2 linked regions of the Arabidopsis thaliana genome follow. The protein of the gene in region 2 interacts with the protein of the main gene of each other region in a pairwise test. Each region holds a gene or a part of one and is shown on either strand. Other genes may lie near its edges.

Region 1 (5,904 bases), about 13 Mb from region 2:
GCCGCCTATGCTCTGCTCAACGATAATGAGAATGGTGGGAAGTCGTGGAAAGGTTCTTTCTTTTTTGTACAGAATTGGATCACGTCCGCGTTGCTAACGCTATTGATGTTGTATAATCTTGTGGCGACTACTGTGATGTATATGTATTGTAAAGCTGTTCATGGTGAGCTTGTTGGGGAGATAGCTGAAGAGTTTGCTAGAGAATATGTTAGCTTGCCTTTTGATGATGGTAAAGTTCCTCACTTGGTCTCTGTAGCTTACAACAACATCTGATCAAATGATGATGATGATGATGAGTTTAAGGTCTTGTTGTTATGTTTTAAGGTAGTGTTTGAAAAACTTGTCTTCTTGTATGATAATGCAAGTTTGTAACCCTTGTATATTGGTCTTCTTTACTGTTCTTGAGACTTGCAAACTGCTGTAATCTGAATCAGAATTGGCATATTTCTTATTAATTTAGCTAAGGTTAGATTACTCAGAATCCCACTAGAAGCATTGTTAATCTTCGGTGAAAGGTTTCATTTGTATAGACATTGTGATACAAATGACTAAAAGAAACATACATCCACAAATGTAACCTATTACAACAAGAACAAAAAGGATACCTGTAAATTTTGTTTATCCCATGTACAAAAGAATTCACATAAGGGCATAACTTTGAATCTGGTTTTTTACATTACCTCCTAAAGCTTCTTAAGATTACACAGAAGATTCCAACATGAAATAAAAGAACATACCTTTTGAAACTGTAATATCAGAGATTCTGTCCAGAGAAACCTGTGGTGTTTTGAGGCAACAAAAACAGGTTCATTAACCAAAAAGAAGATTCATTAAACTCACAAAAGCTCAAGCGCCGTCGTATTCTTCTTCTCTGTCAAGTGATTTGCTCTTCTTTAAGCCTTAAACGTGCAACAGGCTGTTGATGATTGAAGTTAACCGTTGAGGTGTTGTGTTGATTGTTTGGTCTTAACTGATGGCTGCTGGTTCTAGCAGCTGGAACATCATGGTTATGTTTACCTTCATATGTTGTTACAACAGCTTTTGGGTCAGTTGCTGCTCTCTCTACATGTTTCCTTACTCCGCAATCTGGTGTTGTACACTTATAGTAGCTCCTGTGGATTAGATCAAAGAGCATTAAGGAAACAAGAAAGACCAATGACTATCTTGAACTAGATGACCAGGTTTTAGTCTTACCTCGGATAAGGATTTCCTTTGACTACTTTCTGACCATACTTGCGCCACCTATATCCATCATCTAAGAGGTCAACTTCACTCGTCGTTTGGACAATAATCCTAGGCTCTGTCACAGTTCTATGCGATGAAGCAACTGGTTCTGAAACCCGAACTTCTGTATTTCTGCAACATTCAAAGATTGTTTAAATCTCATCAGAATAACCAAAACCACACAAGAGATGAATGTAAGAGGAACAGTAAAGTCTCATGAGTTTTTCTTATTTACCTTCGCTTGGGATCAGGCTCATCCTCATGTCTTTCTCCCACACTAGTCTCTGCATTCCCAACCTCCTCGCTATCACTTGCTTCAGACATCTGCTCTGTTGTTGTAACTTGGCTTGTTTCCTGGTCCCTCTTACTCTTGTTGAGACTGCTATTACTTGTTTGAAACTGATTTGCAATATCAGAACTTTTACAACTCCCGTTATTGTTACCGCGCTTTTGAGGAAGCTCATGATTGTGTTGACCCTTGTAGATGATTTCCGTTACTTGTCCATCGAGTGACCTCTCCACTTTCTTCTTGACAGGACAAGCTGGATGCGTACATTTGTAATAACTCCGAGGAAAATCGCTCCCCTTCACTTGCTTCTGCCCATATTTCCGCCAGTTGTATCCATCATCAGCTGGTTTGTCAGCATTTTGAGGCTGTGACCGATGCTCAAAGACAGATATTTCCGAAGTCTCTCTCTGACCCTGCGATGTTTCTTGAACCGAGGCTCGAATCTGAGACCTAGGTGCAGAAGAAAATGATGGAATCTCAGTCAATGAAGCTTGTTGTTGTTGTTGTTGTTGTTGTTGTGTAGAAGAAGGATATTCAGATTGTTGTGATTGCTGCATATGAACATTATTGCCTTGAACTGCTTGTGCAGTGACTTGTGCTAAAGCTTGTTGATGTGTCATACCAAATGTTCCCTACACATAATTCACATTTCTATTATCAGCTAATAGCCCAAAAGACAAGGTAACAAATTCCAAGCAAATACATTTAAAGATTCAACATTTAGAAAAGAAACAATACTAATGAGTTCTAAACGACAACTCTGTTTCTCTCTTTGACATTGACATTGTTCTTTGTCTGAAAGATTCCTACTTTCTAAATTCTTCCATTCAAAGATTCAGATACCCAAAAAAGCATCCATAATGTCTCAAAGTCAAAACTTCCCAATTTTGACCTAAAAATGAAGAACATTTGTTTTTGTTTTTTGTTTCTCTTACTCTATCCAGCAAAATGGTTTGGATTTGCATCCATAAAGACATAAACCGAAAGAAAACAAAAACCAGAAACAGCAACAAAATATCCAAACAAAACTTTCATTTACCAAAAACAGAGTTTCGAACAAACAATGAGCAAAAAAAAACAAAGCTTTGAGTTTTTTTAGTTGTTAACGAATTTCACACCTGAAGAGGTGAAAAAAGACCAAAGAAGCTCGGAGAATCCAAAAGAGTAGCCGGACTTAACCCCGGCGGTACAGTAAACATCCCCGGTGGTTGAGTTATCATCAATCCCGTTGGTCTACTCTGCTTAAACCTCGGGTCAACATCACCACCGCTTCCACCGCCATCACCGACAGAGCTCACAGGTGTCTGATGATGAGCAGTAGCAACCACAGCAGCGGCGGCAACAGCAGCTGCCGCCGGAGAAGCCATAGCTCCAGCTAAAAGCTGAGAGAAAGACTTGAACTCATCAGGATCAGAGAATAAATTTGAGACGAGAGTCATTGGTCCAGGACTAAATCCAACGCCACCGCTAAAAAACATTTCACCAAACGGTCGAGGAGGTAGTGAAATCGTTGGCCGTGAAACTCCGGTGGATGATTTTAACTTCGATGGTTCTTTTTCTTCCTTCTCCGCCATCGATTCTTGATTTTGAGAACAAAAAGGATAAAACTTTAACAAACCCAACTCACACAGAAAAAAGAAGAAGATATTTCTCTTTCTAACACTTTTTTTTGTGTAATCTTAATTATACAAAATTCGTGTCGTGTTTCTCTCTTTCATTTTGTATAAAATATTTCTTTGTGCAGTCTTTTAATGGGAGAGATTTTTTTTGTGATTTTCTTGTGTTTGTCTCTTCAAGCAGATCTCGAAAAATATGAATAAAATTTTGTTTACAGTATAAAGTCTGCGGTGCAGATATGATAGAGTAAAAACTCTCTGTCTTTTTCATTTTATCCATTTTATTTTTCTTATTAATTTTTGATTTTCAAAAAAAATGACACATCGTAATGAATGCTACAAAAGAAAGTAAAGTATTTCATGAATTTAAATTTGCATTGGTTGCTTACATAAGAAATTAAACAAAAAAAAAATCATAAAACATTTAAGTTAATTTGGAAGATAATTAAAATATAGAGATTTCTTTGCAAAATAACATGTAATAAAATACAATAACATGATATCATATTATTTGTAAAATATGCACAAAATCAATTATTCATTTTAGTTATAATTTTTTACCGTATCATTTTATACACAAACTTTAAAATTTCAAAACTTCGATAGATTAATAGAGACAAGTATGCAGGAGATCTCCAACGATGTACAATTATAGTCATTCGTCAAGATTTTACGCAGGGAAAATCATTGAAAGTGTTCATCAAAATCATAGAAAATGAGAAAAAGGTAACGTTTGTCGTGGATCTAAAGAGAGTCAGAAGGAATTGTCTATAATAAAATCGTCTATATAACAATTCTCATATTTTATAATAAATAATAAATTTAAGACAGAATAAAAAACATCAAAACTTCAAATGTTTGATTTTTTTAGCGAATTAACCCAAAAACAAATGCATAAGCTATAATAACTTTTTTGGAAGTATATAGTGGTTTATTGAAGACAAGGATCTAACAGATTTCCTTTTTTATTTCTCATATTTATTTATTCATTATGTCTTATTTCGTCTATTTTTGTAGTAATCGTTGAGTTATGATTGGCTAATAAGGGAAAGTAGTTTATAAAAAGCGTCGGTTTAATGTGTTATATTACAATTATGTCCCTTGAGACAACGATGGTTTGTGCCTCGCAAGTCAACCAGCAGCTCTAAGCACGACTCGACGGGTTATAACCAATTTGTCTTCACCACGTTCTACAAATTGCATTTCGCCACGTATACATAAAATGAATCGGAAGTTATGGTCGATTTAAGCCTAATCGTAACTCACAAGAGCTGTTTTATGTCCTAAATGAAACAATTTATGGATTATATTTTTTTCTCGTCATGATTTTATGGAGTTTATTGATTTGGTAAATAATAAGTAACTTTTTTTGGTAAAATGGTGAAAGAGGAAACGTGAGAAGATGGAGTAAACAAAAAATGAAAACACAACTTGACTTTATGGAGGGCCCAAGTAACTTTGAAAACGGGCCAAAGAGACAATACATCCTTAATATCTGTAGGACCCAAATGGGGCCCTTTTCATTCATTGCCACAACGAATCGCGTCTTTCACTTATCACATCGAGAAAGCCAAGCAAATATTTTATAAAAAATCACTATAAAACATGTGAAAAAAAAAAAAAAAAAATCACTATAAAACATAGAAACGGAAACAAAGGTGTAAATCGAATATGTAAAAAAATAGAGAGAATATACGAAAGGAGTAAATCGTGTAATAGTGCAAAATCAGATTCTTAGTACAAAGCTTCATGTTTTAAAATCTAGCCTGCAGGGCCGGCCCAGCACATTTCTATTAAAAACAATTATAGAAAAAAAGAAAGGAGTATGACGACAATAAAAAGGACTGATAGATTTTGTGTGAGTTTCATATTTAGCCGAACATAAAGCAAAGCAAGAGTGAATTTTTTTTTGGTGAATGATAGAAGGCAGTTGCCCCCTATGTTTTATTCAAATAAAAAATGTAGAAAATTACAATCGGACATTTCTGGAGTTTGTGTGCCCATTAGTATCCTCCAACAAAACCGGCTTAACAATATACGGTAAACAACAAACGAATGAAAATTAAGCGATAAAGAAAACGCTTAGTTTGCTAAACCATCAGCAAAAGTGAAGTTTGAGCTCGGTAAGATCACTTAAAAGATATTGTTTTTAAGTTTCCAAATATTTATTTGAAAATCAGTGGTTTAAATCTTATGAATTGGGTGCACAAAAAAGAATCTTATGATTTAAAGCTTTTCTTTTTTCGGTTAACAAAAATCTTGAGTAAAAATGAGCCACAAATATTGTTTAGGTCTGGCCGTTTGGGCCAGCTCAATCTAGGGGGAGCTAAAATAAAAAGAAGAAGAAGATCATCACATAAAATTATGTACTTAAAGGTTGATAAAATTGTCACCTCCACGTTTATCACAATTTACCTAGGCCATGGTGATGGCATCTTGAGACCCATTGTTGGTACAAACAATATCTTTTACGGTTAACATGTGGAACCTTATTACCACCAATTCAAGAAACCAAACAATACTCTATACAATGGTTTGATATTGTTGTTATGGTACTACCGATTAAAAATCATTATCAAAGTAATATTTAGCGGTACTATGGCTTGATAAAGATTTGTGATTTCTTGCATATAAAGGAGGAAAATGAGAGTTATATAAACACATTTCCTTTAAGTATACCTCTTCCCAAAATGCAAATAACCCCAAATAAATTCATGAATCAAATATGATAATAACCAATTGTGAAAAAAATCCTTAGAACTCTCCAATGACTTT
Region 2 (5,119 bases):
TGTACACTATCTCATAGACTTTCAAGTACACCAAATAGTTCTCTAGATTCGGTGTACAATACGATAGACGATTTAAAGAGTTGTATATGGTGTCATCTACTATTTTATTATTTTATTATTTTATGTACACCGTGAATATCATGTACACTATCGTTGTTTTATTTTTAAATATTATTGTCGTATACTATTATTTTATATTATTTTTGTACATTATCAAATTCAGATAAAACATGAGTGTGTTTGGTTTCAATGACTTAAGAAAATATGAGTTTTAATTAATGTCAAGCCCATGAACAATTCCAAAATTGGAGATGATATTGGGTTGCTTTTAATCAGGCCATTTTATTTCATCAAAACAACAGAAGGGTAAAATTGTACTTTACTAAAAGCTGTATTAGAAGGAGAGTTCTATTAGAGAGGAGAGATAAAACTACCTATTCCTCCTATTTCTAAAAAAAGTGTCTACTTCTCAAATTATTTTTGCAAATTACTCTCCAACTTATCTCTTTCAATAATCGTGAAATCTTCATTAAGTGTAAAAGTGATACATGATTAAGCTTAAATACAAGTAAACTAAACCAAAACTACTAACCAAACTTAACCACAACTAAACCAAGTATATACACTCTAATAGAATGTGTACGTTCGTTAAAGAACGGTCATGGCATATTTGTATTGGATGTTACTTAAATTTGGTAAATTTGAAAAGAAAAGCATTATCGGTAAAGCTGAAATCACTAAGATTTTTCTTTTTATTAATTTACAATAGACTATCCTTTTTCCATACCATGTAAAAGTGGTTCCTTTATGACTAGAAAGATACCAATGAAAATTCATACTACAATTTAAAGGGGAGATGAACATGAAATTAAACTCAAAGAAAGAAAAAGAGAGATGAACATCGATCAATGCTCTCTTTTTTACTTTCTTTCCTTTTTGTTAAAAACAATGTTCTCTTTTTTTTCTTTTACTTTTCTTCCTTCTTTTCTCCTTTCATTTCTAACACTTTCCTTAGTTTTACTTTTATATTTTATATACGTCAACCAAATATGGGATTAGGTTAATTGAAAGTGGCATATTTTCAGAAAAGTACTTTGCTTTGCTTTATCTTTCCTCAATGTTCCATTCAAAAGACTCCGTCTTTCAATCGAATATCAACGCATGAGAAAATTATGATCCATTTTGAACTTCACTGACGAGCCGGATCATACTAGGACTGGACTTATGGTCGTTGATACTTGAGTGAGATTATAGCTGAGATGGTCAATCCATCGACACTAGATTGGATCATTAATTGATCAGACTTAGCTCATTCGTCCGACCCACTTTACCATTTATATATAGTTTCAATCTGGCCACTTTGCGACAAGACATGGTGTATAAGATATTAGTAATTAAATTTAAAACAATTCGAATACTTATGAGAAGGCTACCGTGAAGAGGACCCACAAGAAGTCTTTAGAGCTGACAAAAGGAAGAAATATGAAATATGAGTAACGATGTCTCTGTCTCAAAAGCTCATACTCCTTTCTCTTTTCCTCTTTTTAACACTGACTTATTACCAAACATTTCTTTTTTTGACGGCTATGTCTTAAAAGTTAGATCACATCTAAAATATATATATACAGTATATAGTTCATCCATTCTAAATTCTAAAGATAAATATTTCAATCTTGATTTCCAAAAAAAAACGATGAGGTCAATCCTAAAGATCAGTATTAATTGGGGGTTTAAACACATACACACGCACAAATCCATCCAAATGTTCTTTGAAAAGAAAATATGTATGGGCCGGGGCAAGACTCCTAGGTATCTAGAGAGTTGCATTTCAAACCTAATGATAATAGATTATTTAAAGTTTTAGAAAAATGGAACTCGTGACTCGTGCACTGAGAAATCATTATCAAATTCGTAAAATATTAGAGAGCAAAAAGTCTGAACAAGACATTTTCCTTTTCATGAGTTACTGCCTTGTTCGTTTTGGATATTTCCTCCGTTTTATAATATAAGTTGTTATAGACCAAATTTTTTGTTTCACACTATAAATTGTTTTCAAGTTTTTATGCAAGTTATATATTACTTTAATACTTTATGATTATTTATATTTTACAGTCTCTTTTATGATTGGCTGAACTTTTTAAAAGTTAATATGCTTAATATGTGTGTTTTTAGCTAAAACAACTTATATTGTGAAACGGAGAGAATATTATTTTTTAGTATCTGTTTCATATTTTTATATCTAGATACTAGTTAATCAAAAAAAAGATCTATAATTTCGACAACCCTGAAATTCTAATTCGTTAATAATCCATGAACATAGACTCAAATTCGGATGTGAATAGATGGATCATGTTTATAGAATCTCTTTCAAGTAAATTTAATCTTATTTTAGTTGGATCACGTTCAAGCATCCACTAGCTTGTCTAAAATTGTTACGAAATAATTAATGTGTATTCATTTATTCTATAGAGTAAGTGGACGAAAAAAAGGGAAAACGTGTATGGTTTTACAGTAACTACTTACGAATTGCACTTTTCAAATAATTAGCTTTTTAAAGAAAGCTTTGTAGCTTGATCCGCATTGGCATTCGTGTTTTACGTGTAGATGTGAATTCAAGACCCAAAAGTAAAGCGATGAATGCGCCTATTACTACATGCTTTAAAAAGTTTTTAACAAATAAATATTTTAATCTCCACTAATTCAGTCACTTTTCTTCTCCAATTCCTGCTAAAAAGTTATACTATCATCTTTCTATAAAAAGACGTCTTCTCTATTTCTTACCCCCAACAAACTTTGGATAAGCTATTTTCCATTCTCTGCACGTTTTCATGGCGACTCAAGATTCTCAAGGGATTAAACTCTTTGGCAAAACTATTGCATTTAACACTCGAACAATAAAAAATGAAGAAGAGACACACCCGCCGGAGCAAGAAGCCACAATAGCCGTTAGATCATCATCATCATCGGATCTGACGGCCGAGAAGCGTCCGGATAAGATCATAGCATGTCCAAGATGCAAGAGCATGGAGACAAAGTTCTGTTACTTCAACAACTACAACGTTAATCAGCCTCGACACTTTTGTAAAGGCTGCCACCGTTACTGGACCGCCGGTGGTGCACTCCGGAACGTTCCCGTCGGCGCCGGTCGTCGGAAGTCCAAACCACCTGGTCGTGTCGTGGTTGGTATGCTTGGAGATGGAAATGGTGTTCGCCAAGTCGAGCTTATAAATGGCTTGCTCGTTGAGGAGTGGCAGCATGCCGCAGCCGCAGCTCACGGTAGTTTCCGGCATGATTTTCCCATGAAGCGGCTCCGGTGTTACTCCGACGGTCAATCGTGCTGATTATAATTATTTACTCTCTTTTTTAAAAAATAATTTGTTTTGGTTTTGGGGTTGAGTGGTTTTCCTCTAAACCCGTTGAAGAACGTGGTGAATTTGGTTGCTATTGGGTACATACAGGCTGGCAAAGTAGTTAATTTGTCATTTGTCAATCAATCGAATCCAATTACTACTTTAATTTACTACTCTCTATACAAGAGGATTCTTTTTAAACAATTTAATTAATATTATCGACCTAGGATTCGTATGCATTAGTATAGTGGCGTGTGTAATAAATTTTGATAGATTTGTCATTTGTGTTTAGAATTCCATATGGTTAACAAGATTTCTCCAATTACTTGTTGGAATACCTTATATAAGTCGGTTGTTGTGTTATTCCATATTTGTAATAGTCTTTTTTTAGATTGTGGATTAATGTTTTGGCATTCATGTGAAAGAGACTTGTTGTTATTTGCCATTTTCATTAATGTTTTAAGCATAAAAATGGTTAATAGATCAAACCTATATATATATATATATAAGATGAAACCTAATTACTTATTTCTTATATTTAAATACACTAAATCAATAGTCACTTTTCAATAACTGCAACTTATTACTTCCTACAAAAAGCCTCCACCTCTCGCTTCCTTTCTTCTCTGATTCAGTTTTCCTGCAACTTTTATGGACTATTTATTTTTTGAAGTTTCTGTATAGATTCACTGACATGGGCCAAAGGCAAAGGTAAATTACTGGTTGCATTTATATATGTTCATTGATTCTAAGTGCCGATGTATCCGGTTAGATTTTGATTATGTTTTGGGTGATTCTGTTTTTTTTTCTCTTAAGTTAATTCTGTTGATTTTATGTTTCCTTTCTTGATAGATCTATTGATGGGAGACTACGATTTCTCTTTTACAGTGCCCTCGGTGTGGTACGTATCATTTCGATAAAATCTTTTTCCTATTATCATTTTTATTTGATCTAAATGGAGTATCAACGAGTATTATTTTGAGATTCTATCAATCATTGTATTTTGTAATATTATTCTTTGTCGTCGTTTGCAATTAGTAGCTAATATTTACCACAAAAAGTTATGCAACAATGCATATGTTTAGGTTATTTCTTTACCTTTTTATTTTTTACAGGAATTCCTTACTTTCAAAAGAACTAACAATAAATCCAAATATTCAGATTGTAGAATTTCACAAGAAAAACTAGATTGAAGGAACAATTTAGATTATATAATGTGACTGGACTTGGCAATGGAACAAATAAAATGTTTGAATTCATTTTATTCAGTAAATATAAGAACCAACAATACAAAAGTCAATAAAATACATAATTCATCTGGTGCAACAACATCTTCCCGTTTTAGGCCCTGGAACACAGTTTCCATCATCATACCCTTTCGTTATACAGTCATGGAAGCATTCAAAACGTTCGTAATACCCTGGACTACATCGAGCAAAGCAGTCTCGCCCTACACATATATATCAAACAAAAAATCTTATAAAAACATGTAATACACTACTACTTTTTTTTCACTAGAAATAAATATTTCACTAAAATTCACTAAAGGATTACAACGGTGGATTACATATGTCGGGAAAGGAAATAACCCTTCCAAAAACTAAGCCGGCGAGTGAATAAAATTTTTGGAGACAAAGACGGAGAAACAAAGAGAAAAACACCAAGAACAAAGTTTGATCCAAAACTTTCCCACAGCCTCAAAAATAAAAATTACACAGTCGAGTATTCTCTAATACACATACATATATTTTGGGAAAACATATTCTCTC

What was found.
Region 1: the proteins of AT2G34140 (region 2) and WRKY3 interact in a two-hybrid assay, tested with the Arabidopsis thaliana proteins (one large-scale study listed by BioGRID).

The regions. Positions count from the first base shown.
Region 1 is NC_003071.7:1,013,850-1,019,753, forward strand, and holds WRKY3 (WRKY DNA-binding protein 3), read right to left. Parts: upstream 3,374-5,904; 5' UTR 3,088-3,373; coding exon 2,632-3,087; intron 2,146-2,631; coding exon 1,460-2,145; intron 1,357-1,459; coding exon 1,195-1,356; intron 1,113-1,194; coding exon 875-1,112; 3' UTR 501-874; downstream 1-500. Other genes in the region: AT2G03330 (uncharacterized protein), read left to right, coding at 1-273; AT2G03350 (DUF538 family protein (Protein of unknown function, DUF538)), read right to left, coding at 5,884-5,904. UniProt on the Arabidopsis thaliana protein: Transcription factor. Interacts specifically with the W box (5'-(T)TGAC[CT]-3'), a frequently occurring elicitor-responsive cis-acting element.
Region 2 is NC_003071.7:14,412,410-14,417,528, reverse strand, and holds AT2G34140 (Dof-type zinc finger DNA-binding family protein), read left to right. Parts: upstream 1-2,740; 5' UTR 2,741-2,828; coding exon 2,829-3,341; 3' UTR 3,342-3,835; downstream 3,836-5,119. UniProt on the Arabidopsis thaliana protein: Transcription factor that binds specifically to a 5'-AA[AG]G-3' consensus core sequence. Transcriptional repressor of 'CONSTANS' expression. Regulates a photoperiodic flowering response.